3 linked regions of the Diceros bicornis minor genome follow. The protein of the gene in region 2 binds, or shares a complex with, the protein of the main gene of each other region. Links are inferred from orthologs where the notes say so. Each region holds a gene or a part of one and is shown on either strand. Other genes may lie near its edges. The genes, in order: MATCAP1, tubulin alpha-1B chain and CAMSAP1.

What was found.
Region 1: the proteins of tubulin alpha-1B chain (region 2) and MATCAP1 are in contact, whole or in part, in a cryo-EM structure (PDB 7Z6S), measured with the Homo sapiens proteins. The link is inferred for Diceros bicornis minor from reciprocal best matches to the Homo sapiens genes TUBA1B and MATCAP1. Residues at the interface, in NP_006073.2 of Homo sapiens: Asp345, Trp346, Arg422, Glu423, Ala426, Ala427, Glu429, Lys430, Asp431, Glu433, Glu434, Val435, Gly436, Val437, Asp438, Ser439, Val440, Glu441; in NP_001035805.1 of Homo sapiens: Lys219, Cys220, Trp223, Val226, Arg227, Gly237, Glu238, Val239, Val240, Val241, Gln242, Leu243, Met253, Met254, Val255, Glu256, Asn257, Ser258, Arg259, Pro260, Thr261.
Region 3: the proteins of tubulin alpha-1B chain (region 2) and CAMSAP1 are in contact, whole or in part, in a cryo-EM structure (PDB 6QUS), measured with the Homo sapiens proteins. The link is inferred for Diceros bicornis minor from reciprocal best matches to the Homo sapiens genes TUBA1B and CAMSAP1. Residues at the interface, in NP_006073.2 of Homo sapiens: Lys112, Glu113, Asp116, Val409, Gly410, Glu411, Gly412, Glu415; in NP_056262.3 of Homo sapiens: Ser1471, Ser1472, Lys1473, Lys1557, Ile1568, Pro1569, Ala1570, Ser1574, Val1575, Ser1576.

The regions. Positions count from the first base shown.
Region 1 is NC_080771.1:19,067,444-19,076,927, forward strand, and holds the start of MATCAP1 (microtubule-associated tyrosine carboxypeptidase 1), read right to left. Parts: upstream 4,150-9,484; 5' UTR 4,061-4,149; intron 4,004-4,060; exon of another isoform or gene 3,560-4,003; intron 3,552-3,559; exon of another isoform or gene 3,439-3,551; intron 2,667-3,438; exon of another isoform or gene 2,185-2,666; intron 1,275-2,184; 5' UTR 1,220-1,274; coding exon 650-1,219; intron 568-649; coding exon 424-567; intron 153-423; coding exon 20-152; intron 1-19. Other genes in the region: EXOC3L1 (exocyst complex component 3-like protein), read right to left, coding at 4,660-4,849, 4,946-5,070, 5,162-5,317, 5,401-5,523, 5,645-5,774, 6,824-6,934, 7,145-7,245, 7,344-7,469 and 3 more. UniProt on the Homo sapiens protein: Tyrosine carboxypeptidase that removes the C-terminal tyrosine residue of alpha-tubulin, thereby regulating microtubule dynamics and function. Also able to remove the C-terminal phenylalanine residue of alpha-tubulin TUBA8.
Region 2 is NC_080756.1:20,529,329-20,539,554, reverse strand, and holds tubulin alpha-1B chain, read right to left. Parts: upstream 4,656-10,226; 5' UTR 4,552-4,655; coding exon 4,549-4,551; intron 3,149-4,548; coding exon 2,926-3,148; intron 2,784-2,925; coding exon 2,635-2,783; intron 1,962-2,634; coding exon 981-1,961; 3' UTR 800-980; downstream 1-799. UniProt on the Homo sapiens protein: Tubulin is the major constituent of microtubules, protein filaments consisting of alpha- and beta-tubulin heterodimers. Microtubules grow by the addition of GTP-tubulin dimers to the microtubule end, where a stabilizing cap forms.
Region 3 is NC_080767.1:42,863,578-42,873,372, reverse strand, and holds the start of CAMSAP1 (calmodulin-regulated spectrin-associated protein 1), read right to left. Parts: upstream 3,802-9,795; 5' UTR 3,551-3,801; coding exon 3,391-3,550; intron 1-3,390. UniProt on the Homo sapiens protein: Key microtubule-organizing protein that specifically binds the minus-end of non-centrosomal microtubules and regulates their dynamics and organization. Specifically recognizes growing microtubule minus-ends and stabilizes microtubules.

The sequences.
Region 1 (9,484 bases), on a different chromosome or scaffold from region 2:
CGCCTACCCACGCTCTGACCTATCTCATGCCGCAGCATGCCCTCCAGCCAGTACTGGCGGGCTCCAGTCAGGTTGATGGCCAATGTCGGTCGGCTGTTCTCCACCATCATCACTGCCTGGGACAGCAGGTCCTCACTCAGCTGCACCACAACCTGCAGATGGCAGTGCCCTGAGCCATGATCACCAGCCCTGGGGCCAGTGTCCAGGCAGACCCACTGATACCATAGGGCAGCCAGGCGGGACACTTGGCCAGGACACCCACCCTTCACCACCCTGCTAGAGCCAGTTCCCATCTCACTGGGACAAGGACAGGGGGTTGCCTGGGGTCACTAGCTGGCCAGGTGTGGAGCTGGGCCTGGCACCACCCACTCAGCAGCCTGGTATGGGGCATGAAGAGGGGCCTCACAGGCAGGGCAAGCTCACCTCCCCGACGCAGCCCTCCTTCTGCATGTACTTGCGCACAATGGACCATATCTGGCACTTGGTCAGCAGCTGGCCCCCGGTTGCAGCCTCAAAGTGTTCATAGGTACCGAACTTCTCCAGGACAGCCTCAATGATGCCAACTGCCTGTACACAGGGCCACAGTGGCTGGTCAGGCCAGGCCTCTTGGGTGGACAGAGCCAAGGTGAGGTGGGCAGGCTGGACTGACCTGATGGATGAACTGTCCAGAGGCCTCACAGTACTTCTCCAGCACAGCCGTGGGCATGGGCTCCTGGTACTCGAACTGTGGGTTGTAGGTGTAATGGGACTGGAAGAACTTGTCCCGCTCACGGTCCATGTTGGTTGGCCGCAGGGCCACCAACATGCAGGGGCTCCTGCTGGCACCACGGCCTGCATCTTTTCGAGTCTTAGCAATGTGAGGCAGGGAGGCCGCAGACCGCAGGGTGCCCCCACCTGGGCCCTGTCCCCGTCTAGGTGGGGCCCGACCCTGGGTGCCCGCCCCCCGCCGGCCAGTACTATTTACGGTGTAGGTGCTCTCACTGCGACGCATGTGGCCACGGTGGCCCAAGTGCAGCTCTGAGAAGGGCTGCAGCTCAGGCCGGGGCCGCAGGCCTGAGGGGACTGACAGAGCCAGGGGCAAGGCCAGGGATGGAGGCCAGGGGTACAGCGGCGTCCCATCTCGGTCTGAGGGCTTCAGAATATGGTCCAAGGATGAGGGACTGGCTGGTGGGCTGGGGGGTGCCTGCTGATACACCTGAGCCCCTGAGTCCAGCACCATTCTGTCCTGGGGGTCACATCCAGCCGGTCACTCCAACTCCCCACACTGTCGGCTTCTGGGGACACAGAAGGACATGGGGAGGCCAACATGAGTGGGTGTGGCCTGAGGACCAAGAGGCCTCGTGTGCCACACTGCCCTTGCTGGGCCCTTGCTGGGCCCATGGCCCGCCTCCAGGGGTCTCGGTGGCTGCCCCCTCACCTCTACCCCAGTGTCCATTCCCTCCAGCAGGTTCACCCAAGCAAGCTGGACTGGAGTAAAGCAGGAGGATGAGTCTTATACATCCACCGAGATGGTGGTTACTGGAATCCCCTTAGCCTGTGAGCTCCTGAGAGCAAGGCCTGAGCCCCTACTCGTGATTCTAATCCCTGTGCCCACCCAGACTGGGAGCTGGTATAGTGTAGCCTCAGCTGCCAGGATGATGGGTGAGGGGGCCTCACTACCTTCTACCTGCCTTCTACCTATGGCATTTTCACAGTCTCACTCCTCCCCTCCCACCTGGCTCCACCCACCTCTTCCAGCCCATTTGGCCTCAGTCATTTTGAAAGCCTGACTGCCCCTTGCTTATGCTAGTTCCTCCACCTGGAATGCTCTCTCTCCTCTGGGCCATCTATTCAAATCCAAATTAAAATCTGGTTTTGGGGAGCAGGGAAACTTCAGCAAATCCAAGCCAATCCCTGGTCTGTCCCCTATCAGAGGCATCTTTCTAGTGGTCATCTAAGGGCGGTGTCAGGACACTCACCCTTGACTCTGTACCTGGGCTGAGTCCAATCCAGCCTCTCCCCAGAGACTGACAGAAGACTCCAGCCTCCAAACTCCCTTGCCTCCTCAGGGACACAATTCCAGCATTTCCCCTCTCTCTTATGTCTCCCACATCATCAGTCTCTTCCTCTCTACTGGATTCTATCCATCAGCATAAGCACATGTTGTTATTTCTCCATCTCAAAAAAGCAAAACAAAACCCTCACTTGACTCCACGCTCCTTCAGATCCACTGCCTCTCCCTCCAGCTGCTCCTTGTTGCAGCACACCTCGAGTCATCAACAATCTCCAATGCCTTCTTTCCTGTTCTCTCTCAAATTCCCCTCCAATTAGGCTTTTGTCCCCCACTCTCCATCGAAACTGATCTGACCAAAGTCACCAATGATCTTCATATTGATCAATAGCACCTGACACAGTTAATCACTTCATCCTAGAAACACACTCTCCACCTGGCTTCTCAAATACACTCAAACATAGTTCCCCTCCTACCACACTCGGTGTTCGTTCTTGGTCTTCCTGCTTTCCGACCTCCTGACACTGTGATGCCCTAAGACATGAAAACTTCTATGGAAACTTCTCCATTTATGCTCACTGCCTAGCTGATCTCATCCACTCTCATGGTTTTAAAATCTTCAGCCCTGGGGCGGCCCCGTGGCTTGGCGGTTAAGTGCGCGCGCTCTGCTGCTGGCGGCCCGGGTTCGGATCCCGGGCACGCACCGACGCACCACTTCTCCGGCCATGCTGAGGTCGCGTCCCACATGCAGCAACTAGAAGGATGTGCAGCTGTGACATACAACTATCTACTGGGGCTTTGGAGGGAAAAAATAAATAAATAAATAAAAATTAAAAAAAAAAAATCTTCAGCCCAGACTTCTTCCATAAACTTCAGACCAGTGTTGCCAGTTCTCAATTCAACATCTTTACCTGAATGTACAGCAAGCATCTCAAACTGAACATGTCCCCTGTCAGGAATGTTTCCCCCCCATAAAACTGCAGGGGTCGCTCTCTCACTTTCCTCAGATTTCTGCACAAATATGTTATTAGAGAATCCTCCCTAACACACTCTCTATAAACTAGTAAACCTCCCCTGCCCCACATTATTGCTCTCTCTGGCAGTTATCACCATCTGAAGTACAGTATATTTAATGGTTAGTTATCTGTTTTCCACTTTTTAGTGTTCAAAGCTGTGTCCCCAGAACTCAGAACACTACCTGGCCCAGAACAGTTGCTTAATAAAATGAATGAACCCAGGAGCCCTCCTCTGTCTCAGAACTGGAATCATTCCTCCCCTGCCCTGTTTCCCCATGTAGATCCAATCCCCTCTCCCCCATCTCCCTCCACTCTGCCTAGTGATGAGCTGCAGGCTTCACTCCCCTCAACTAACAGCAAACTTTTCTGGACCCTCTCTGGTCTCCAAGCCTCTACCTGGACCAGCATCTCCCCTTCTTTCTTTCGACCTACCTCTTTGCAATTACTAGAGTATGCCTGTTTCTTTCACGTCTCAGGTCCTTCTGCCAAGAATGTCCTCCCACTGTCTCCCTGGAGCAAACTCTTAACCATTAGTGCTCGGTTTAGGCCTCACCTCCTCCAGGAAGGCTTCCCGATGTCTTAGAGGCTCCTAGTGCCTAGGTGGCTTCTTTACCGCCCTAGGCTGTCACTATCAGAGCCTAGGTCCGTGTCCCCCTACCATGCCCTGAACTCCCTGCGAGCAAAGACAGGTCTGATTCACCCTCATGTCCCAAGCACCCAGCACTAGACGCAGAATGAATGCAAGATGGTTGGGGGAGGAGCCCAGACTGAAGGCGGAGTCTAGTGAAAGATGAGAGGGTGTGGCCTGCGCCAATGAGAAACTCCGGGAGAGGATAACGTGGAAGAGGAGCCAATGGGGACGGGGAGCTCGAGGAGGGGCGTGACCTGCAGCCGATTAGTGGTGGGCAATGGGGCAAAGGGCGTGCCCAATGGAGGGAGGGGCCAGAGGACAATAGAAGGGGGTTTCCTAGCAGATGAGGAGGGGTCGCGTCGCGCGCCTTCTCGGCCTCTCGGGGGTGGGGGTGGGGATTCCGTCCGCGTGCCGCGCCGCTACCTGTTCGCTCCCCTTCTTGCCACCGCGGTTCCCGCTCCGCAACACCAGTAGCCAGCCGCCCAGCCCGGGGGAGCCGACGCTGGTGACGCAAGTACTCGGGCGCGCGCACGCTCACACGAAGGCTCGCGGATTCGCGTCAATCTCCGCGGCGGCGATCGCCCCAGAACATAGCTGGGGTGGGGCCAGGCAGAGCAGAGGGGGCGGTGTCCGCCAACAGGTCACGCCCCTGGGCGGGGCGTTGTCTTAAGTCCGCCCCCTTCACGAGGGTCAGGCGTGTTTCAGGGCTTCGGGTGCTACTCGGTCATCCGAGTCAGGGCCGAGGAGACCGGAGCTCACTGCCCCGGCGCGGATACGTGGGAGCGTAGTGTGCGTACTGGGGCAGAAGCCCGGGTACTTGGGAACGCAGTCCACACACAAAGGTGATGCCGGAATAGGTGGGGCGCACGCCGTATATCAGGATTGTAGCCAGGATACCTGAGGCATGTCACTGTGCGTAGACCCCCTAACCTTCACGGGCACTTTTATTTCATGCCCCCTTCCCCAACACACATAATTCAGGCGTAGGGGAGCTGAGGCTTTATTCTGCGGAAAGCCAGGTGTCACGCACAGGGCCTCGAGGGGAGGCAGGAGGACGGCGCGGGCGTAGGGGCTGGCACGAGGCTGAAGAGTGCTCGACGACCCACTGGGGGCGAGGGCTGTGGGCCAGCCTGCAGGGAGCTGAGTGCGGCCAGGCGCTGCTCTCGGGACACGTCTCCGCGCAGGTCCAAGAGGGCAGAGACGTGATCTTCGCTAGGGGGCACCACGGAGGTGAGTCAGCCCCGCCCCGCCCCCCCAAGTCCCTCCTCCCTTTCTGCCCCATCCCTCTCCCCCACCCAGTCTTCGCACCTCACATCGGGAAATTGTTGCCGCAGGCCTGCCACCTCGAGGCCAAGCAGCATGGGGTCGCGGAGATTCAGCAGCTCCCGCAGGGCGAGCAGCACCGGCGCGCACTGAACGCTCTCCTCCAGGCCCTGAGCACGTGGGGATAGGTCTCTCGCCGGCCCTCGGCCCCCACCCAACCACTGAGATTCCCGCCTATCTGCTCGCCCAACGAGCTCTCACCAAACCGAGGAAAAGCTCTTGAAGCTGGGCGGCATCGTGCCTTAGGCGCTCGGCCGCCTGGGTCCGCTCCTCGGCGCCGCGGCACACTAGGCGGCCCTGCATCAGCGCGCGTAGGTACTGCAGCACCACAGTACGCTCCACCTCGGCCAGCAGCAGCTGCGGGGAGAGCGATCAAATGCGTCCAGGATGGCTTTTTCATGGGCGCTTTCCCGCTCCCCAGCCTTTCCCCCCAAACTCACCTGGACCGCGGGATTCCGCACGCGCCAGAAGTCCCGGCAGAAGCGCGCCGTCCGCTCACACACATCGTCCAGCAGCTCCGAGCTCGACAGCCACCGACGCGAGGGCAGAGCCTCGAACAGGGGCTAGAGGAGGGGGGACAAAGACGGGGCTAGAGGGACGATCCAGACCCGGCATTCCCCGCAGAGACCCCCATACATACGCTATATCTCCTCCTGCCACCCCCATCCCCACCTGAAGCCTCACCTGGAGCTCCACTAGCAGCGCCTCCAACACCAGGCGGCAGATCCTCCTCTGCAACTCGTCCAGCGCTGCCTCCACCGGAGCCAGGGCCCCTGAAGCCTCCCCGTTGGGCTGCAGGACGGACACGGAGGAGCTGGACCGACCAAAAGTACAGCTTCAGGACCAAGGCCAAGGCCCACACGGCCCTCGGTTGTCTAGCCACTCCAGCGCCACCTAGTGGCGCAAGTGTGTGGCGGGAGGGGGCAAGAAAGGCGGCTCCCGGCACTTCTGAAGGCCTGGGTCGTCGACTGAGGCTGGGAGTGGTGGGCTCAGCGAGCTAGAAGGGACACAGCCTAGCCGGACCTGCCTCTAATTCGCAGTGTGACCTTGAGCAAATCATATCTTTTGGTTTCTGTTTCTATAAGGGGAGAGAGTTAATCACTGGCAAGAGGGAGTAAAAATCATCATTAACTTGTTTGTCCTCTCTGCCCCCATTCCAAAGAACATAAGACCCAAAAGGAAGGGAATTTTTGTTGTTGTTGTTTTGTGAAGATCAGCCCTGAGCTAACATCCACGCTAATCCTCCTCTTTTTGCTGAGGAAGACCAGCTCTGAGCTAACATCTATCGCCAATCCTCCTCCTTTTTTTTTCCCCAAAGCCCCAGTAGATAGTTGTATATCATAGTTGCACATCCTTCTAGTTGCTGTATGTGGGACGTGGCCTCAGCGTGGCTGGAGAAGCGGTGCGTCGTTGCGCACCCGGGATCCGAACCCGGGCTGCCAGTAGCCGAGCACTCGCACTTAACCGCTAAGCCACGGGGCCAGCCCAGGAATTTTTTTTCTTTGTTCACAGCTGTAACCCCAGACATTACCTGGCACAGAGTAGGGCATTGGTAAGTATTGTTGAATGAATGAATAATGACTATGTGCCAGGCACTGTGGTAAGTACTTCACACTTGTTATATCATGTGATTCTCAGAACATCCCCTTATTACCCGTACAATACTTATGAGAAAAGCAAGATTCAGAGAGATTAGGTAACTCGCTCAAGGTCACCCAGATAGTAATTAGTAGAACTAGGATTGGACCCCCAGGGCTACATGAGTCCAAAATTCCTAATGGCCTAATGTGGGCTGAGTCCATACCTAATAGGTGTTCAGTTAGGGGTTAGTGAAGGTGGGGTTCAGTGGGGGCCTCCTGGTACCTGAGTGCTGATTGGTGGTTGAGGGTGGCCAGTAGGTAGGGTACATAGTGAGGGGCCATTGCTTCCCCCCTGAGGTGGTCTCGCGAGAATCGGATCAGAGCATCACTGAAGCTGCAAAGGGCAGAGGTGGCTCCTGTACCTGCTGTCACTGTGGTGCTCCCACAACCCCAGTCTCTGCTACTCCAGCCCCACCTCCAAGATACCCAAGGCCCTGTTTTGGAGGATCCATTTCCCACTGGTGTGCCTTATTCACTCGCAGCCCCTTTGAGCTGCCCCAGGAGTAGGGCCAGGGGTTAGGAGTAGGTCAGTGCCATGGCAGACCTCCTCAGAAATGTGCCCAGTTCTGACAGTGCCATGCCATGCACCCGCTGCTGCAGCGACTCACTGACCAGGCTCGTTACACGAATGTTCTCTTCCAGGATCTACAGGCAGGGATGGGCAGCCATCAGCAGAGTCTTAACCCTGCCCTCCTCCCCTTCCTTAAGGGGGCTGCCCACCTGCCTCACCACTTCCCACCCACCTGCAGCACAATGGCCGGCATTGGTGAGTGGTAGAAGCCAGACGTGTCTGTGTCAGGCTCTTGCTCTCGGCTCCACTCGGCTACCTCCCCATCCAGTGCTTTCTGCAGCCACTGGGCCACACTTGCCTAGGGGAAGGAGCAAGGGGCAGCAGGATGTAGCAGGACACTGATACTGCTAGAGACAGGTAGACATGTGACTCAACAGATACAGGCCCACAGCTGGTGGCAAAGCTTCTTTGGACCTGGCCCCAACTACTCACCTGGACTTTGGCCACAAATGTTGCCTCTAGATGTTCTATGTTCTCTGCGGTCAGGAGGGGTTCCAGCTGAGACACGTCAGCCTCAGGCCCCAACTCCAGGCACTCCAAGCTCCCCATCATTTCTGGCCTAGAGATGGATAGCCCAGTGTCATGCTGAACCCCCAGCCTCTGACCCACCCACTTCCCATTGCCCCAAGGGCACTGACCCCAGGTACACATGCAGTGCCCAATGCAGCAAGGTGAAGGCATCAGCAGCTCCCAGCTCAGGCCCTTCCAGGAGTTGCTGCAGGCAGTGGCGCAGGCCGCTGTGCAGGGTGTGGGCCCAGAGCTGGACCACCTTGTAGTGTGGTGGGCAGCAGGGTGCTACTAGTGCCTCAGCTGTGGCCAACTCGGCTGGTAGAGCCACCCGCAGAGCTTCCAGCCACCCTTCTAGGGCCCCAGGCCCAGGCAACAGTGTTCCAAAGTGGATCCGCTCCAGGCCTTCCTGTAGTGCCTGCAGACAGCGCTGCCGCCAGTCCCGAGGAGCCTGTTCCAGGGAGGTTGTATGCCCAGCATCCACCTCTGCCACGCGCACAGCAGCCACTAGCAGGGCTGGGTCCTCCCGTGCCAGCTGCCCCGCAGCCCCTGCAGCTGCCTCCACAGCCTGGCCCAATGCCTCAGCTAGATGGCCCAGCCCCTCGAAGACTGGCAGTTCCAGGCCCCCGAGAGGTGCCCAGGTCTCCTCTCGCAGCTGCTCCAGCTCCCGAAGGCTCACATATGCCTCCAAGAGCCGCTGGGCACTGATCAGGGTCTGTGTGTGGGCCACTGCAGCCGGCACTAAGGATGGAGGAAAGAAGACAGCACTGGGTCTCAGCCTTCTCACCTGTGTAATGGGTACAGCAGCAGATGCTGAGGCCCTGGGGCTGCGGTGATGTCTAAAATATTTAATAACCGGGGCCGGCCCCGTGGTGTAGCGGTTAAGTGCACGCACTCCGCTGCTGGCGGCCCAGGTTCGGATCCCGGGCGCGCACCGATGCACCACTTGTCAGGCCATGCTGTGGCGATGTCCCATATAAAGTGGAGGAAGACAAGCACGGATGTTAGCTCAGGGCCGGTCTTCCTCAGCAAAAAGAGGAGGATTGGCATGGATGTTAGCTCAGGGCTGATCTTCCTCACAAAAAATAAATAAATAAATAAATAAAATATTTAATAACTGGTACAGTAGAGCATTGGCCAATCTGAAAGGAGCCAGGGAAGGTCCTAGCAGCCTGGTGGGCCTGGTGTAAACCCTTGAGCTGATGGAACGTGAGGAAGTCAGGGATCCTGGAGGGAAGACAGGGAGGAACTGGGGGACCATGCTAGTGGCTATTCACCCACTCTTTTAGGGATATTTCAACATATTAACAATGAGGGTGTCCAGAGCTGCTTGACTGGGTGTCAGTCCTGACTCAGACATCCCATGCTTGGGAACCCCAGAATGAGCTGACTTGCACCCTGCTTCATATGCCATTTGAAGCCTAAGTTACTCTCTGGGAGGTCTGTGGTGTGTCCCTCCATGCAGTCTCTCACTAGTGCCCCCGCCCCTTGATTAGTGATGGGCATTTGTTGACTAAGTGTTGGAAGGCTGAGGCCCAGTGCCCCTGCACACTCACCTGCCTGCAGCCGGGGCAGCAGCTGAGACAGGGCCTGCAGTTGCTTGTGCTGGGCAACCCGCTCTCGCAGCGGCTCTAGGGTCTGTGTTGCCTCTGCCATGCCCCGGAGCAACCCGCGGGCCTGGCCCAGGGCCTCATGGACTCCCTGCACGGCCTCAAGGGCCCGAGCCAGCTGCCACACCCCAGTCTTCACGCCCTCCAGGTATGACTGCACCACCGACTGTGAGAGAGAGGCAGCCAGTGATGTCTG
Region 2 (10,226 bases):
AGTCCTGGTGCATTCTGAATCTGAAATGTACATTTTTTCTTAGGTTAAATTCTCTATTTGCATCCTGTTTGCCTATCCCTATAGTCCGTTAGATGCAGTCAAACTATATACTTGAAAGAATGTAAACTATGCCAAGTGCTATTAATTGTAAACTCTTATCCTTTACAAATGCTGCCACTTCACCCCCTTGTAAATTAAGCAGCACCATTCCATAAATGCATGTGGCTTATTCTTCCTGTTTTTCTTAGTATAATTTTGATCACCAGCAATTCAGATCCTGCAATTTTTTCTCATCCCATTATAGGACTGGAAACACAATTTTTACCTCACCATGCTGAAATATTCCTTTAACCAGCTGTTTTCCTGTTCAAGGGTCATTTTGAGATTTTTTAAGTTAATTGATAAATTAGTAGGTCCCTTTAAACAGCAGTCACATTATTTGCAGGATATTCAAAACTACTTACTTCTTATACCTAACTCATTAGTAATGACTTAATAATCTCAAGAGCTAGATTAGCAGGATGATTTTTTCAGTACATCATTTTTCCAAGCCCTCTCTGACCTGGATTCTAACACTGGTTGAGGTGATTTTAACAGAACAGTGTCAGAATCCAGTGCATACTTTTTCAGACCAGTGTGCTCCTTCTTCCCCATACAGGTAGCTAGATAGAAAGTGAGGTCCTTGCTATCACCCACTGCCCTGTTGCAGACTTTATCCTGCAGACTTTATCCTCTAGAAATAATTAGTAATACATCTTGCATTGGAGAAATCAATTTAGAAAAAGCACAGAAGTCAAACTTTCTTTCTTAAAGCCTTTACTTTGAGACATAATGGAAAAATCTTACACGTACACATGGAAAAGCAAAACATGATCACAGTTAAAAGCGAAGACAATTTAACCAGATAGCTTTAACGCCTGTCAGCTAACGTTGAAGCTGAAATTGAGTATGACATGCTGCAGTGCTGAAGGGAGTGCTAATTAGTATTCCTCTCCTTCTTCCTCACCTTCTCCTTCAACAGAATCTACACCAACCTCCTCATAATCCTTCTCAAGGGCAGCCATGTCCTCACGGGCCTCAGAAAACTCTCCTTCCTCCATGCCCTCACCCACGTACCAGTGAACAAAGGCACGCTTGGCATACATCAGATCAAACTTGTGGTCCAGGCGAGCCCAGGCCTCAGCAATGGCTGTGGTATTGCTCAACATGCACACAGCCCGCTGTACTTTGGCCAGATCTCCACCAGGTACCACAGTGGGAGGCTGGTAATTAATGCCAACTTTGAAGCCAGTGGGGCACCAATCCACAAACTGGATGCTGCGCTTGGTCTTAATGGTGGCAATGGCAGCATTGACATCTTTGGGAACCACATCACCACGGTACAACAGGCAACAAGCCATGTATTTACCATGACGAGGGTCACATTTCACCATCTGGTTCGCTGGCTCAAAGCAAGCATTGGTGATCTCTGCTACAGAAAGCTGTTCATGGTAGGCTTTCTCAGCAGAGATGACAGGGGCATATGTGGCCAGAGGGAAGTGGATGCGGGGATAGGGCACCAGGTTGGTCTGGAATTCTGTCAGATCAACATTCAGGGCTCCATCAAATCTGAGGGAAGCAGTGATGGAAGACACAATCTGGCTAATAAGGCGGTTAAGGTTAGTGTAGGTTGGGCGCTCAATATCGAGGTTCCTACGACAGATGTCATAGATGGCCTCATTGTCTACCATGAAGGCACAATCGGAGTGCTCCAGGGTGGTGTGGGTGGTGAGGATGGAGTTGTAGGGCTCAACTACAGCTGTGGAAACCTGGGGGGCTGGGTAAATGGAGAACTCCAGCTTGGACTTCTTGCCATAATCGACAGAGAGACGCTCCATCAGCAGGGAGGTGAACCCAGAACCAGTTCCCCCACCAAAGCTGTGGAAAACCAGGAAGCCCTGAAGACCTGTGCACTGGTCAGCCTGTTAGAAAAGAGGAAAGAGAAAACATAGTTATTGCTTTTTGTGATATAATCATAGTAAATCTATTTTCACTTTTCATACAATTCCAAGGATATAGCTCTTATTTTGACAAGAAACACTTGGAAAAAAATGTAGATGTTCCTGGAATCACTCAGCATTTCTTAATTAAAAAATATCTGTATTAATATTTACAAAATGACACCAAATAGTTCATGTTTTAATTGAGTTTTTTTAAAAACTATAAAAGAATAATTCCTCATTCATTATTACATTTCAATTCTGTGTTGAAAGGAGCCTATGTCATTTTTTGTTGTTGTTGTTTTTGTGAGGAAGATCAGCCCTGAGCTAACATCCATGCTAATCCTCCTCTTTTTGCTGAGGAAGACCGGCTCTGAGTTAACATCTATTGCCAATCCTCCTCCTTTATTTTTCCCCCCAAAGCCCCAGTGGATAGTTGTATGTCGTAGTTGCACATCCTTCTAGTTGCCGGATGTGAGATGCGGCCTCAGCATGGGGGCAGAAGCGGTGCGTCAGTGTGCGCCCAGGATCCGAACCTGGGCGGCCAGTAGCGGAGCACGCACTTAACCACTAAGCCACGGGGCCGGCCCAAGGAGCCTACTTCAAATGTCTTCCTTAGGCTCATTATTTACTTTATTCTTGAGCATAAACATACCAGTTTCCGAATTCGGTCCAAGACGAGGTCAATGATCTCCTTGCCAATGGTGTAGTGCCCACGGGCATAGTTATTGGCAGCATCTTCCTTGCCTGTGATGAGCTGCTCAGGGTGGAAGAGCTGGCGGTAGGTGCCAGTGCGAACCTCATCTGGAAAAGGAAGACAAAGCAGCCACCCATCACTAACCACCTGCACAAGCCTGCTCAACCCCAGGGCATCAGCGGAGCCCCCAGGACAGACCTCCTGTCCCAGACCCCTGGGATCTCACTCAGGTTAGTGTGGTCAACTCACCAATGACTGTGGGTTCCAGGTCTACAAACACTGCCCTGGGCACATGCTTGCCAGCACCCGTCTCACTGAAGAAGGTGTTGAAGGAGTCATCTCCTCCCCCAATGGTCTTGTCACTTGGCATCTGGCCATCGGGCTGGATGCCGTGTTCCAGGCAGTAGAGCTCCCAGCAGGCATTGCCGATCTGGACACCAGCCTGGCCAACGTGGATGGAGATGCACTCACGCTGTGGAAAAGGAAGGAAAAAAACAAAATTCAGGGTTAAACTTATCTAGCAGTGACTATGAAGCAGAACAAAATACTTATGGAATCTTAATCTTACAAATTTCCTCTTTTAAAATGAATTAAAATATAATACTCTTTTCCTAGGGGAGAACTGCTATCTTTCTGATCTACACTGCTTTTACTGAATTTTTTCCACTTCTAAATTGCCAAGGCCTCTTTCTAGGGCAAGAAGAGAGCTTAGTCACAGCTTCCTCCTTTGGAGGATCAAGATAGGGTGGAAGCCATCCATCCAGTGCTCAGGCCCCAGAATCCCATTTTAGACTAGGTGGCCAGATTTCCGGGCAGCTACCAGCACAGGAAGCACGTGTCCAGAGCAGAGGAAATGTCTGGCCGCAGGGACCAGGGGCGGGGCTCTGCGGCACTGGATGAATGAGCAATTCAGGGGCACGCGCCCGCGCCCCCACCCTGGCCGGCGGGGCCGCGCAGCTGCAGAGGCACGCAGCAGCCACGTCTGCAGAGGCGCTGCCATGGCCAACCATCCTCCATTCCCCGCAGGCGTTGGGCTCAGCCCAACACCTCCACATCTGTCAGGGCGCAGCAGGGGATTATCAGCGGCCCAGATCTGGACCAAGATCCGATTTCCATTCCCTCAAAATCCTCACCGCCACCACCTGCTCCCACACACATTCCTAACGCAACAAAGAGGCCAAGGAGGGACAGATGGCCTCTACAGGCTGTTGGGAACTAATTGTCCTAATACACTGGCGTAGTGCAGTACACTGACAAGGAGCCCTTCTCCACATTCATCTTAGTGCTTCCATTTAAAAAAAAAGAAAACTCGGTAACAGGAGCCGCGCCCTCTAGCCATAGACCCGCAGCGCCCCAGCGCGCACGCGCAGACTGCAGTGGCGGTCTCCCGCCGCTCTCTGGCGGGAAGGTAACGGTCGCGCCTGCGCTTTTGTGTCCTGCCCCTTCCCGCCTCCGCTTTCTAGCTGAGGAGGAAGTGAGGGCGGGGAGAGCCCGCGCGCGCCCGCCAAAGGCGGGGGAAGGATGGGGGGATGGGAATGCGCGGGAAAAGACTGTCGAGTCTGGGGGCGCCGCGCTCATCAATTAAGGGCTAAATGAGAGCCTTAACCACGGCGGAGGGCAGCCCGCACCCCGCCATCCCCTCCCAGAGTCCGAGAAGAAAACGCGGTGGCCGCCCTCTTTCCGAGCCTCAGCCGTTCTCCACGAACCGGGGTCTATCTACTCCCGCCCTCTCCTCTCGCCTCGCTTCTTGCCCTCCAGATGGCCAGCGCTGGTCCCGGCCCTCTCCAACTAGAGGCCCTCCGCGACGCCTCTCCCCGGCTCGCTCTTCCCCATTTTCCCGAGCAAGGGCGGCGCCGCGTGCGGCCCACTCACCATGGTGGCTACGGGTTAGCAGGCGACAGGAATAGACACCGGGTCCCGGTTACCGTCCCCGACAAGCTAAGAGTCGAGGTAAGTAACGCACTGAGGCTGGGGCGGCGCCGGAGCCACTTAAGTAGCGGTCCGGGGGGGGGCGGCGGGCACAGGCGGCGCCACGGCCGCGGGCCCCTCCCCCGGCCCGGCGCGTCCACTCGGCGCCCGGCTCGGTCGCCGCAGAGGCGGGCTCTCCGCCCGGGGTCCCCTGCCCGCGCCTGCGGGCCGCGAGCTCGGGTGCTGCAGTCTGCGGCGCATGGCTGCCAGGGCCTGGGCGGGGGGCGGGCGCAGGGCCGGAAACAAGCCGGCAGGGGAATGGGTAAGGAGGCTTGCCTTAATTTGGACGAACCCTAAGACTTAAGAAATCCATACAGTTTTAAAGATGAAGCACCATGAAATGCAGAAACTTCTGGTCCGGATAGCTCAGCTGATAATTTTCATGTTGCCACAATTTGTCAGTGAGTTGTGCCTTTTTCTTTTCTCAGTTCCTTTAAAGGCAGTGCATTCTGTACTTACCTGACAATGTGGAGGACGTGAGGTTTAGAAAATGGAATAGTTTTATTTGGTTTACTGTAATGACTTGCTATTTGTTGGCAGCAAATAATATTTCAGTCAAAGAGTAGTACCTGAGCATTGAACATCGAATCTGTTAAAAGGGCAGAGTATTTGTAAACAGCATAGTTTGGCCTTGCTTTTTAAAATCCAATCTGACAATCTCTGCCTTTTAATTGGGGTGATCAAACCATTTACATTTAATGTGATTAATGATGTGGTTGAGTTTGCCTCTACCATCTTGCTATTTGTTTCTGTTGTTTACATTTTCCACCCCCAGGCTTCGCCTGGGTTCCCCTCTCTGCATTGCAGTGTAAAACCTCTTCAGACAGAAAGCTGGCGTAATCATAGGGCTCGCCTCATTTGTTCCCCTTCTCTCAGGCATCAATGTCTTGTACTGCTTGATGCACAATGTATAAAAACTGCTGTTCCTAGACAAATACTGTATGATTCCACTTATATAAAGTACTTAGAGTAGTCAAAATCATAGAGACAAAGTAAAATTGTGGTTGCAAGGGGCTGGGGGAGGGGAGAATGGGAAGTTAGTTTTTAATAGGTATATAGTTTCAGTTTTACAAGATGAAAAGAGTTATGGGGATGGATTGTGGTGATAGTTGCACAACATTATTAATATATTTAATACCACTCAACTGTACACTTAAAAATGGTTAAGATGCTAAATTTTATGTTATGTGTATTTTTATCATATTTTTAAAAAATGGAAAGAAAAGAAAGGCAGAGTAGGCCCCATTTTTAGACCTAAACCACCGACTTTGTGGAATAGCTCTAGGGGCTTTTAAAAAGGGAGATTTAAAGACACATTTCAAATTTGGTAGCTGAATTGAAGAAGAGATGATAGAAACTTGGGTAGGGAGGAAATTGTTTGACACTGAAGGCTATTAGGAAGTAGGAGTTCCTTGTGTAATTTAGAGTTTTGTAAAACTCTTTATATAATAATAACTGCTTTCTGCTATGTCATGATAGATCAGTTACAGCTTAGTGCTAAGAGGCCCAGATTATAGTGAATAGACTTTTTTTTTTTTCCTTTCGGGAGAATCTGGTCCAAGACCATAAACTACATTGTTAACCCTTAGAAATGCATTAGGTGGTTAGTTAGGGTTAAAATGTGGCTTTAAAATGGTCCTAGCAGAAACCTGTTGCTGTTACTGCACTATTCAAAATATCCTCCCAGTGATAGTGTATCAGTGTTACCTTATTCAGATTTGGTAAAGATGTCACCCATCATATCAGACAAATAACAAATTTAGACTGTTAATGTGTATGTGTAGTTTGTGAGAATATATATATAAGCTCCACTCGTATGAACCTGGAATGCAAACAAGGAGGTTCTTTATTTCTAATAAATATTTTTTGTAGTCCTGTTAAAAGGTTTTTGACTCAAAAACCAAATTTGCACACATTTCCCAAACTCGGTTATAGGAGAAAGGAATATATTTGAATGTTGTCTCACTTATTCTTAAAACGAGATGGAAAATAATTAGCTTGCCTTGACTGGAAGAATGAACGTTAGGGAGCCACCCAGCTGAACTCCATTTTGATGTCTGCTCTGGATGAAAGCCATTTGAAAGCAGGCACCTCCCTCTTCCTAGCTCTCTGCAGAACCATAGAGCTTTCACTGCAGAGATTTGCTCCTGTGGGTCTATATGTCTCCCCAGATACCTTCCTAAAACCATTAGCGTTGCTAGCCTTGTTATCTCTGAATTCCCCTGTTGTGAATGAGGAAGTACTTGAGGGTTTGTTTTTTTTTAGGTCCGTGATGATACCTTAGGTTTCAGAGAGTAATAGAGCCAAAAGGGACCTTTAAATATAATCTAGTCTGATATCTTTATGCCAGAAAAATATTGAATGATGCTAAATTAATTTATTTTGCTACCTCCCTAGTGCCTAAGAGGAAAGGCTTACATTTTTTTTCTTTTTTACCCATGCTAAACTTACATGAGTCTATTTGTTTACATTATATATGGATGTATACACTTTGTCTGTATTTAACAAATAATAATTATCTATTGCTAGAATATAAACCACTGTCTTCACATTTTAATTGATTATATAGGTCTTTCTTTTGTTGGACTGTTTCAGGGCCTCTAACTATTTGCTTTGAGTCTTTGATGTAGTGGAAAACCCTGTGTTGCTATTCGAGCCACTCTCATCTTTGCTACTTAATATCATGGCCATTTGCTACTGTTCTAAGCAATCAGTAACATTTTTGATAGTTCCATATTGTGGTTTAGACACAAAAGTTCACAAAATATTTTGTTCATTTGACCGTCTCAACACGGAAAGACAAAAATAACAAATAGCAACAATTTACCAAGCATCAACTATTTTCAAACATTTGGCCTTTTATTCTTATTTATTATAGTAGTATAAATTTATGTATGTCATTTTGTGTTCTGTTTTTCCAAAGAGAGATGGTATAAGGGAAAGAAAATGGGCTTTGATTTCAGATAGTATTGGATTCAGTTATAACTTTGTCAGTTAATAGTTGTATGACTTTAGAGCCTTAATTGTCTTTCTCCAGCTTCATTTATGAATGGGAATCAATATTAGCTTGGAATCCTCTTTTTCTCATACTGCTACATTCAATCCCATTTGTAAACTCTATCAGCTTTATCTTCAAAATATGCCCATCACTGGCCTTAGTAGGGAATCTGAAGAATGATCATATTTAAATTTTTTCCCCCCAAAGGCCCAATAGATAGTTGTATGTCATAGCTGCACATCCTTCTAGTTGCTGTATGTGGGACGTGGCCTCAACATGGCCGGAGAAGCAGTGCGTTGGTGCGCGCCCAGGATCCGAACCTGGGCTGCCAGCAGCAGAGCGTGCGCACTTGACCGCTAAGCCACAGGGCCGGCCCATTTTTTTTTTTCTTTTCTTTTTTTTGGTGAGGAAGATCAGCCCTGAGCTAACATCCATGCCGATCCTCCTCTTTTTGCTGAGGAAGACTGGCCCTGAGCTAACATCTATTGCCAATCCCCCTCCATTTTTTCCCCTTTTTCTCCCCAAAGCCCCAGTAGATAGTTGTATGTCATAGTTGCACATCCTTATAGTTGCTGTATGTGGGATGCCGCCTCAGCATGGCCGGACAAGTGGTGCGTCGGTGCGCGCCCGGGATCTGAACCCGGGCTGCCAGTAGTGGAGCGTGCGCACTTAACCGCTAAGCCACGGGGTGGCCCTGATCATATTTAAAGTAGAGAAAAGGAGCCTATAAAAGGAGTCTGAGAAGGAATGATCAGGGAGGGAGAACTGAGGGTCTCACAATCCAAGGAAAGACAGAGTTTCAAGAAGCAGAAGTGGTACAATGTCAAATGCTGCAGAGAGGTTAAGTAGTGTTAAGACTGGAAAGTGTCCATTGTATATAGATAACAATATGGCTTCTATTTTTATTTACTTATTGGACAAATATTTATTGAGACTCTACCATGGCAGGTACTCCTTTTAAGTGTTGATTAGATATAACAGTGAACAAAATACGTCCTTGCCCTCATGGAGTTTGTATTCTAGTGAAGGAGAAAGAAGATGAACATGTAGCAAAGAGATATGAAAAATAATGTCAGGTACTGAAAAGTATTATGAGGAAAAATAAAGTCTGGAAAACAGATTAAAGTTACAGAGGGGTGCTATTTTAGATAGATTGATCTGGGAAGGCCTCTCTGAGGAGGTAGTTATTTGAACAAAGACCTGAATGAGGGCCGGCCCCGTGGCTTAGCGGTTAAGTGCGCACATTCTGCTGCTGGCAGCCTGAGTTCGGATCCCAGGTGTGCACCGACGCACCGCTTCTCTGGCCATGCTGAGGCTGCATCCCACGTACAGCAGCTAGAAGGATGTGCAGCTATGACATACAACTATCTACTGGGGCTTTGGGGGGAAAAAAAAAAAAAAAAAGACCTGAATGAAGTGATAGAGTGGGCATTTCAAGCAGAGGGAACATCAAGTACAAAGGCTCAGAGGTCGAGGATGTATGTCTTTTTTAAGCAATATCAATAAAGTCAGTGGGACCAGAGCAGAGTAAGTGAGGGGGAGAGTGTTATGAAATGAGATCAGAGAAGTAGCCAGTGTCTAGATCATGAAAGGGTCTTTCTTATTAGCCGTGGAAAGACTGTGTTTTATTCTAAAAGTCATGGGAAGCCGTTACATAGTTTTGAGCAAAGATGTGACATATTCTATTTTAGATTTTAAAAGGATTGTTCTGGCTGCTGTGAGAATAAACCATAGGAGGTTAAGAGTGGAATAAGGAATATGAGTTGGAAGGGAATTGCAGTAATGCAGAGAGGAGGTGATAGTTGCTTGGAACATGGTGAACCAGTGGTGGAGGTGGTAAAAAGTGGTGGGTTTCTGGATATATTTTGAAGGTAGCATTGGATGTAGGGTGAGAAAGAAAGAGAAGAGTCAATTGTGACCCCAAGGTTTTTCGCTTGAGCAACACTGGGGGATACTGAAGGAGGAACAGATATAGGGAAATGGAGGGAATCAAAAATTCAGTTTTGGGGGCCGGCTCCATGGCATAGTGGTTAAGTGCGGGCGCTCCACTGCTGGCGGCCCGGGTTCGGATCCCGGGCGTGCACCGACGCACCGCTTGTCTGGCCATGCTGTGGCAGCGTCCCGCATAAAGTGGAGGAAGATAGGCACAGATGTTAGCTCAGGGCTGATCTTCCTCAGCAAAAAGAGGAGGATTGGCGTGGTTGTTAGCTCAGGGCTGATCTTCCTCACACACACACACAAAAATTCAGTTTTGGACGTGTTAAATTTGAGATGCAGTGTGAGACATCTAAGTAGAGATGATGATTAGGCAGTAAGCTAAAGTACAGAGAAGATGAATTGTGAGGATAAATTTAAATCCATAGAAACTAGATGAGATCACCTAGGAAGAAAGTGTAGATTAAAAGAGGTCCAAGGACTGAACCCTGGAGCATTTCAGCTTTTAAACATTAGGAAGAGGATCCTTCTTGAAAGTGAGAAGGACCAGCCAGTGGTGTAGGAAGAAAATCATGAAGAGTGTGGTGTTCTGGAAACCAAATGAAGAAAGTGTTTCAAGCAGGAGATAACTTTATCTGACAAAGATAAC
Region 3 (9,795 bases), on a different chromosome or scaffold from region 2:
GAGAGAGGGAGAGGATGAGAGTGCTAATCCCTCACTAGCGGTGGGCTCTGGACAGCCTCGTGGTCTCTCTCCATCCCAGTTTGCTGCTACTAAAAAGAGAAGATTAACCTCGGTGGCCCCTACGGTCCCACCCAGTCCAGGGAAGCACAGCTCCATGGTGAGTTGTGGTGAGTCTCAACGTGGTTTCCAGGGCGCCTCAGAGGGTGAAACCACCACCACTGAGCTACATAGCAACATGCTTGCAAAGAGCTGAGTGCCTTCTAGTACTTTCCCTGGGTTGTTTTTTCAACACTGTCCTTGGGAGTTAACAAAAGCTATTACTCCCCCACTGTCTCCTGAAACCAAGGCCTAAATACCTTTAAGTTTCCTAAGCTCGTGGACTAAAATCAAAAGCCAGGAATGCAGCAGCCCCAGCCCAGCTCTATTCTGTAAAATAAATGGTACTTCAAGTCATTCCTTTAAAGTTTTTTACCAATTTATTACAATTGTCAATCAAAAGGACATCACAAAACATTCCAGCTAAGCAGACTCAACTGCTTCCCACACTTTTAAATTAATAACTTTCAACATGTCCAATATATTACTTCTAAAAAAACAATTAAAACACTATAAATGAAACAAGAGTTACCCCAAAAAGGGAGGGGCAGAATCTAAAAATAAAAACACAAGAGGGCCCACAGTTCTTGGCTGTGGCACCAGAGATGAAGAAAGTCGGAGGAAACGTTTCTGCATAACCATGTGCCACCACAAGGCCTGGCCAAGGGTGAGCTCTCCCCAGGCTCCTCACTCACTACAAACGGCAGCGGCCGGTGGCCCCGGGGACACGGAGAGTCCCAAAAGGCAAACGCAAACGAGAAGGCAGCCTCAGAGCACCTCGCCTGAGAGTGTCTGCATGCTTTCAATTCCTATACAAACAGAAAAGACTGTTCGGTTTCATTTAGCTACTTAATGAACAACTACAGAACAAGAAAAACATTTAGGCCACTTTCACCATCACACCCCTCAAAAACAATTTACAATTAAAGCGTGCAGACTGAAAGAATCATGTCTAATTAACTGAAAACTAAGCTGGAGAGGCACATGGAGATGTCCAAAAGGAGAAACAAAGAATAGGCCCCTGGATTAGGAAAAGAGTTTTGGGGTAAAAAATCTATATTATCCTACCCAAATCCCTCCCCACCCAGTCTCCTGCAAGACCAGACCCCCTGAGGGTAGCAGCGAAACTCCGCCAGGGCTGTGGACCCCACACACACACACACACACACACACACACACACACTGACGACACAGATGAAATCACTTCAGCTGAGTGGAGGTGAGTTTTTTTGGTCATCTGAATTGGGATCTCCTAAATATGTCAACTTAAAAAGAGATTCTCATCTAGAGCAAAACTACATCTGTGCCCTTCCCGAAACACAGCATAGAATGGAACAGCCTTCTCATTCAGCAACAATGAATGGAAAGCAGGCCTCCTAAAATCCGTGTGTGATGAGCACACTTCAGCCGAGGGATCGTGACCGACGGGCAACATGCAAGCCAGCCGCAGATCCTCAGACAGCATCCAGTCTCCTTCAGCTCCTGCTCACCTTCTGTTCTGTAAATACCTACCTTTAATCATTGAACACCCTAAAGCCTATTTTAATATCAGCTTTTGAATTAATTATCTGATGAGTCAACAAGTATCAAAGTGATCTGGTACTGGAAATAAAACTACACTAACCCAATACTAACCCTGAGAGGGATGCATATTTGTTTCCAGATAGCGGACAAATCCCACGCTGAATGCCAAAGCTAAATGTAACACAATAAAAATGCATTCACTTTGCTAAAGAAACTGGAAAGCAAATAACGAGACGGCTTTTTAGAAGTATTTGTGTCTATATAGCATTCATTACTAGAACCTTAGCTATTTCCATACATAAAATCTTAAAAATACACAGCAGTGTGAAACCTTGCACATGTGCCCCAGGAGCCGTGCCCAAGAACGCACTGTGCTTAAGAACACAGACCTGGAACCTGACCAGTGCCCACCAACAGTGAACAGGCCTCCAGCGAAACACCACACAGCAGTGAAAAAGCAAGGAGAGGAGTGGGAAGGAAGAAACTAGGAAGAATGTGGAATAAAGCAGTCTCAGCAGAGGACATAACTACCAAGGGCGCAAAAATAGGGAAAACTAAATACAGTTCAGTGATGTAAACACATGCGGTGAAATATAAAGAAAAGCAAACCAATCGCCAACGCAAGACATGAGGTTGGGACCCCGGCACACCCAGGGGACCCCACACGAGGTCAGGTCGCGTGCTTTTCCTTAAACTGACTGCCACATAACCCAGTGGCCGCTGCGGTGTTACTCTTTACACCTCACTCTAAAATTTTACATACACTTGTTAGCAATTCCATATTTCCCCCAAAATCATGTAAATTCGTGTACGCGACAATGTTTCCCCATCATACTATAGAGAAACTGAATCAAGTTCGCTGTAAAACTGGAAACTGCAAAATAAAGGAGAAAACTCGGGGTGCACACCATGAAATCAGCCTGCAATAGGGGACGCATCTAATCCCCGAGACCTGCAGAGCCAGTTTAGCCTCATGACTAACTGAGTCTGGCCATGACACAGGCCGCTCGGACCGGTGAGAGCCCGTCACAGGGGCACGCCTGCTCCGCGAGTTTTCAGACCCGGTCACCAGCCTCCCTCCTGAAAGGGTTCTCTCTCCACTTCAGTCTCACTCTGGAATCAGAAACGTCTTCCCCACAACGAAGGCAATTTTTAAAAACTGCTTCAAATGAAAAGAAAAAAGACTACGCAGTATTAACTCTTAATTTCGTACCTAAAACAAAACAGCTCAAGTTAATAAAGCAGGCCTCGGGAGCCAAGCGATTATGAGAATCACTTGGTCTGTGAAACGCCAAGAGCTGGAAACCGGCGAGTCTTAATCCACTAAGAATATCAGGCCTAATAAACTGGCTCCTAACAAGGCTACCTAGTTCTGCAGGACAGGCTCACCGAAGGTGGGCCCCGATCAAGACGGTGCAGCTGAGAAGCAACGACTCGTGGGGAACTCCACCGGCGAGCTCGGTGACAGTCGAGCCGGCCGGGCACCCAGGGTGTCACCGCGGACTCGCGCCCCGCCCGGCTCCGGGGGAGGTTCCCCGGGCCGGCCCCGCTGCACCTGCCGGAGGACTCCGGCGCCGACCCCCCACCCCGCTCGGTCGCACGCGGCCAGTCCACTCCGGACCTAACCCCACCACGCCCCGCACTGCCCGGGACCCTGCGCGGCGGGCGGCGCACAAAGGAGCCCCAGCCCGTGCGTCTCCGGCCTCAACTCGGCCCCCGACCCCGTCCGTCCCCCTCCCCCGGGCCGTGTCCTCCCCCGCCCCCGCCCACCGATGCCGTAGGCCTTGGCGCAGAGCCACTGCAGGTTGGCGGCGATCTTGGCGCGGGCCGGGTCGTAGCGGTCCAGCGGCACGATGTCCACGGCGCCGTCGGGCGCGGCCTCCATCCTCCGCCAGCCCTCGCCGGCCGCGCCGCCGCCCGCGTCCACCATCTGCACACAGAAAGGCCGCTGCAGCGCGGGCGGCGCCGGCGAGGCCGCAACAAAGGCGCCGCCCCCGCCGCGCCGGAGGGACCCGCGAGGGGCCGGCACCGACCGCGGCCGGCGCCCCCGCCCGCCCGGCCTCACCTCACAGCCGCCGCCGGCGCCGCCGCCGTGCGTGCTGCTGCCGCATGCTGCGGGGCCGGGCCCGGAGGCCGGGGCCCGGGAGGCCGGGGGCGGGGGGCGGCGAAGCGGGGACGCAGGCTGGTCCGCGGGCCGTGGCGGGGGGCGCGCGCGCGGAGCCGGGGGCGGCGGCGGCTGAGGAGGCGGCCAACCGGCGGGAGCGCGCGCACCGCTGAGGCCCTGCGCAGGCGCACTGGGCGCAGCCCGCCGCCCCTTGCCGGCCCGCGCTCGCTCCGCCCCTTTCCGCAGGCGCAGTGGGCGCAGCCTGTGGCCCCGCCCCCGGCCCGCGCTCGCCCCGCCCCTTCCCGCAGGCGCAGTGGGCGCTACCAGAGGACCCGCCCCTTCCCGCGGGCGCCGGGCGCGGGGTCGCGCGGGCTGACAGGCCCTGGCGGGGCCTGCTGCAGCCCTTTGTCTGGGCCGGGTCTCTTCCTGCTGGGACTGGGTCGTCCAGACCAGGGGACCCCAGCCGCCGCGCGACGGGGCCGAGCCCCTCGCGGAGGCCCTTGCGTGGGCCGACTGCGACCTCAAGAAGGCGACGGCCCCGGAGGGAGGGGGCGCTCGGAGCCTGGGGGACCCCCCCCCCCAAGCAGCCCTGGATTCCCCTTCCCGGAGAGCAGCGCTGGGAGGCCGGGGACCCCCCGCCCCCAGAGCAGCCCCGGGGATACTTCCCCTCCCCACTGCCCCCAGCAGCGCCGGGAGCCCGGGACTCCCACACACACACACACAAAGGCCCTTGGTGCCTAGAGACCCCCTCAAAGTAGCACTGGGGGTGCCTCCCACCATAGTGGGGCTCGGAGCCCGGGGACCCCACCCCGAGAGCAGCCTCAGGAATACCTCCCCTCCCAGCCAGCAGCGCTGGCAGCGGGGCGCACCCCTTTCCCTGCAGGAGCACCTGTGCCGGTGCGCCCCCAGCAGGCACTAGCTGTGGTCTCCAGGGCACGGTCCCGGGAAGTGGGCTCTGGACACCTGAGATAAACTGCGCATCCTCAGCCCCCAGCGCAGCCGTGGGTATCGGCCTCAGGCACGTCCCCCAGAAGGGGCTGGCTTCGTCCTGATAAAGCCTGTGTTGGACTAATAATTATAGTAACACCGTGAAACCTCAGCGTGTGAAAGCTCGTGTGTCCCGGTGCTCGGCTGAGGACCTCAAAGCTGAGCTGACAGAGGGCTGCTGGCTTCTGTGCCACGCACTGGGGTCCAGAAATCCAAGGCCTTGAGGAAAGCGGGAAGAAACAGTTTCCTATGAATAAGGTGTCCTGGGAGTGACGGCCAGGATGGCTCCCAACCTCACTTCACCGGCCGTGCTAAGCCGGAAAGAAAACCCAGGTTGTCAGGTGATGTAAGCTCAAGGACCCAGCCGGTCGTTCAACAAACACTTATTCATGTGCAGGCATGAGCCTCACTCTGGCTCACAGCAGAGAGCAAAACACAAATCCCCACCTGCCTTCGGGGAGCTGAGGTCTAGTGAGGAGGGAACATGACTGCATGTGTGGTAGGTGAGGCAGTGAGCAGCGCTGGGGCCGCCATCAAGGAAAACTAAGGGGGCCTTTGAGCAAAGACCTGCAGGGAGCCAGGGGCAAGCAGGAGCTTGTCTGGGGAAGTGTGTTCTGGGCAGGGGTGTAGGAGTGCCGGGTACGTAAGAGACAGGGAGGCCACTGCATCCAGAACCAGGCATGGAGAGACACTGGCAGGAAAGGGGCGCGGGGGTGGCAAATCTTGTAAGAACTGTGGCCTCCTCTCTGAGTGAGATGGGAAGCCATAGAGGGCCTTTGAGCACAGGCAGGAAGGATGTGACTGACCCTTTACAGGGAACATTCTGGTTCCTGGGAGCAGAATAGAAGGTAGGAAGGGCAAGGAAGGAAGCAGGGAGACCAACCTCTGACAGGTGGGATGTGGAGTGCTCGAGAAAGCAACAGGTCAAGGGCGACTCCAAGGGGTTTTTATCTTAATCTTGTGTCCTGCAACCTTGCTGAACCCATTTATTAGTTCTTACAGTTTTTTAGTGGATTTTCTACATATAAGATCATGACATCTGTGAAGAGAGACAGTTGTACCTCTTCCTCCTCAATCTGGATGCCTTTTATTTCTCCAGTACAATGTTATTTGACATTGTATTCAGAAGTAGTAGAGCAGATGTCCTTGTCTTGTTTCTGCTCTTAGGAGAAAAGCATTCAGACTTTCACCACTAACATATGATGTTAAATGTGGATTTTTCGTATTTATCAGGCTGAGGGAGTTCCGTTCTATTCCTGTGTCGTCGAGTGTTTTTATCAAGAAAGGGTGTTGGGTTTTGTCAAACTTTTTTTGTGTGACTTTTTTTGTAACTATTGAGATAATCACTTGGGGTATTTTTACTCATTCTATTAATGTGGTGTATTACATTGATTGATTTTTGGATATTGAACCAGCCTTGCATTCCTGGGATAAATCCCACTTGATCATAGAGTATAAAGTGTTTTTCAAGTTTGGCAAATCATTTTTTTTTTGTGAGCTTTATTGAGATATAACTGACATATAATATCGTGTAAGTTTAAGGTATACAATGTGATGATTTGGTACGTGTATAGGTATATACTGTGAAACGATTATCACAATAAGGTTAGTTAACACATCCATCACCTCACCTACTTACCTTTTCGTGTGCACGTGTGTTGCAAACATTTAAGATCTACTGTCATAGAGACTTTCAAGTATGCAATACAGTATTGTTGACTATAGTCAGCATGCTGTACATTATTACATCCTCAGAACATATTCATTTTATACCTGTAAATTTGTACCTTTTAACCAAAATCTCCCCATTCCTCCCACCCAACCCCTGCCAACCACCAATCTACTCTTTGTTTCTATGAGTTTGGTTTTTTAGATTCCACGTATAAGTGAGATCACACAGTATTTGTCTTTCTCTGATTTATTTAACTTAGCATAATGCCCTATTCATCCATGTTGTCACAAATGGCAAGATTTCCTTCTTTTTTATGGCTATACTAATATTTCATTGTATATATAGACCACATTTCCTTTATCCATTCATCCATCGAGGGACACTTAGGTTGCTTCCATGTCTTGGCTGTTGTGACTAATGTTGCAGTGAACATGGGGGTGCAGATATCTCTTTGAGATAGTGATTTCATGTCCTTTGGATATATACACAGAAGTGGGAGTGCTGGATCATATGGTAGTTGTAGTTTTAATTTTTTGAAGAACCTCCATACTGTTTTCCAAAGTGGCTGTACCAATTTCCATTCCTATCAACAGCGCATGAGGGTTCTCTTTTCTCCACATCTTTGCCAATACTTGTTATCTCCTGTCTTTTTGATGATAGCCATTCAAACAGCTAGAGGTGGTATTTCATTGTGGTTTTGATTTGCATTTCCTTGATGATTAGTGCTGTTGAGCACCTTTTCACGTGCCTGTTGGCCATCTGTATGTCTTCTTTGGAAAAATGTCTGTTCAGATCGTTTGCCCATTTTTTTAAATTGGACTTTTGTTTTTGATATTGACTTGTATGAGTTCTTTATATATTTTGGATATTAACCCCTTATCAGGTATATGATTTGCAAATATTTTCTCTCGTTCTGTAAGTTGCCTTTTCACTTTGTTGATTGTTTCTTTGACTGTGCAGAAGCTTTTTAGCTTGATGTAGTCCCAATTGTTGTTTTTGCTTTTGTTGCTTGTGCTTTTGGTGTCATATCCAAAAAATCACTGCCAAGACCAATGTCAAAAAGGTTTCCCCTATGTTTTCTTCTCGGAATTTTATGGTTTTGCACATTTAAGCCTTTAATCTATTTTGAGTTAATTTTTGTGAGTGGTGTAAGATGGGGGTCCATTCTTTTGCATATGAGTATTCAGTTTTCCCAACACCGTTTATTGAAGAGACTGTCCTTTCTGCATTGAGTATTAGTTGACCATATATACGTGGGTTTACTTCTGGGCTCTTGATTCTCTTGCATTTGTCTTTGTGTCTGTTTTTATGCCAGTGCCATACTGTTTTGATTTCTATAGCTTTGTAATATAGTTTGTTTTTATATTTTATATTTACATTTATTTTATTATTTATATTATTATATTTTATATTTATATTTATTATAATATTATTACTTTATATTGTATTTTATATTTACATGTTTTTATATAGTTTGTTTTTATATAGTTTGATTTCTATAGTTTTGTAATATAGTTTGTGCTATAGTGTTTGTAATATAGGAAGTTTGATGACTCTGGCTTTGTTCTTCTGTCTCGAGATTGCTTTGGCTATTTGGGGTCTTTTGTGGTTCCATATGAATTTTAGGATTATTTTTTCTCTGTGAAAAATGCCATTGGGATTTTGCTGGGGATTGCATTGAATCTATAGATGGCTTTGAGTAGGATGGACATTTTAACAATATTAATTCTTCTGATACATGAACACAGGATATCTTTCCATTTGTGTCTTCAATTTCTTTCATCAGTGTCTATATTTTTCAGTGTACAGATCTTTAACTGCCTTAGTTAAATTTATTCCTAAGTATTTTATTATTTTTGATGCTACTGTAAATGGGGTTGTTTTCCTTATTTCTTTTTTTAGATAGTTGGTTGTTAGTGTATTGAAATACAACTGCTTTTTGTATGTTGATTTTGTATCTTGCAAGTTTACTAAATTTTTTTTTTCTTTTCTTTTTTTTTTTTGTGAGGAGGACCAGCCCTGAGCTAACCTCCGATGCCAATCCTCTTCTTTTTTTTGCTGAGGAAGACTGGCCCTGGTCTAACAGACGTGCCCATCTTCCTCTACTTTATATGGGATGCTGCCACAGCATGGCTTAACAAGCAGTGTGTCGGTGCGCGCCTGGGACCTGAACCGGCGAACCCTGTGCCGCCGCAGCGGAGCACGCGCACTTAACCGCTTGTGCCACCAGTCCGGCCCCCTGCAACTTTACTAAATTTGTTAGTTCTAACAGTTTTTTGGTGGCATCTTTAGGATTTTCTATACATCAGGTCATGTCATCTGCAGAGACAATTTTACTTTTTCCTTTCCTATTTGTATGTCTTTTACTTCATTTTCTTGCCTGATTGTTCTGGCTAGAACTTCCAGGACTATATTGAACAGGAGTGGTGAGAGTGGGCGCCTTTGTCTTGTTTCTGATCTTAGCTTCTGATGTTAGCTGTGTTTATCATATATGGCCTTTATTATGTTGAGGTACATTCCTTCTCTATCCAATTTGTTGAGAGTTTTTGTCATGAAAGGATGTTGAATTTTGTCAAATGCTTTTTCTGCATCTATTGAGATGATTATATGCTTTTTATTATTAATGTGGTTATCACATTTATTGATTTACATATGTTGAACCATCCTTGCATCTCAGAGATGAATCCCACTTGATGATGATGATGTGTGATCCTTTAATGTGCTGTTGAATTCAGTTTGTCTTTTGTTGAGGTTTTTTTTTTTCCTTTTTTTTTTGAGAAAAATTGGCCCTGCACTAACATCTGCTGCCCATCTTCCTCTTTTTTAAATTTTTTCTCCTCAAAGCCCCAGTACGTACAGTTGTGTATCATAGTTGCAGAGTTGTAGCTCTTCTATATGGGATGCTGCCTCAGCATGGCTTGATGAGCGGTGAGTAGGTCCACGCCCAGGATCCGAACCAGTGAACCCCAGGCCACTGAAGTGGAATGCATGAACTTAATCACTATGCCACCAGGCCAGCCCCAAGAATTTTTGCATCTATTTTCCTCAGGGATATTGGTCTGTGGTTTTCTTGGAGTGTCTTTATCTGGCTTTGGTATCAGGGTAATGCTGGCCTCATAAAATTAGTTTGGGAGTGTTCTCCCCTCTTCAATTTTTTGGAAGAATTTGAGAAGGACTGGCATAAATTCTTTAAATGTTTGGTAGAATTCACCAGTGAAGCCATCTGGTCCTGGGCTTTTCTTTATTGGGAGATTTTTGATGACTCACTCAATCTACTTGGTCATTACTGGTCTATTCAGATTTTCTGTTTCTTCGTGATTCAGTCTTGGTATGTGGTATATTTTTAGGAATTTATCCATTTCTTCTAGGTTTTCCAATTTCTTGACATGTTCATAGTTGACTCTTACGATCC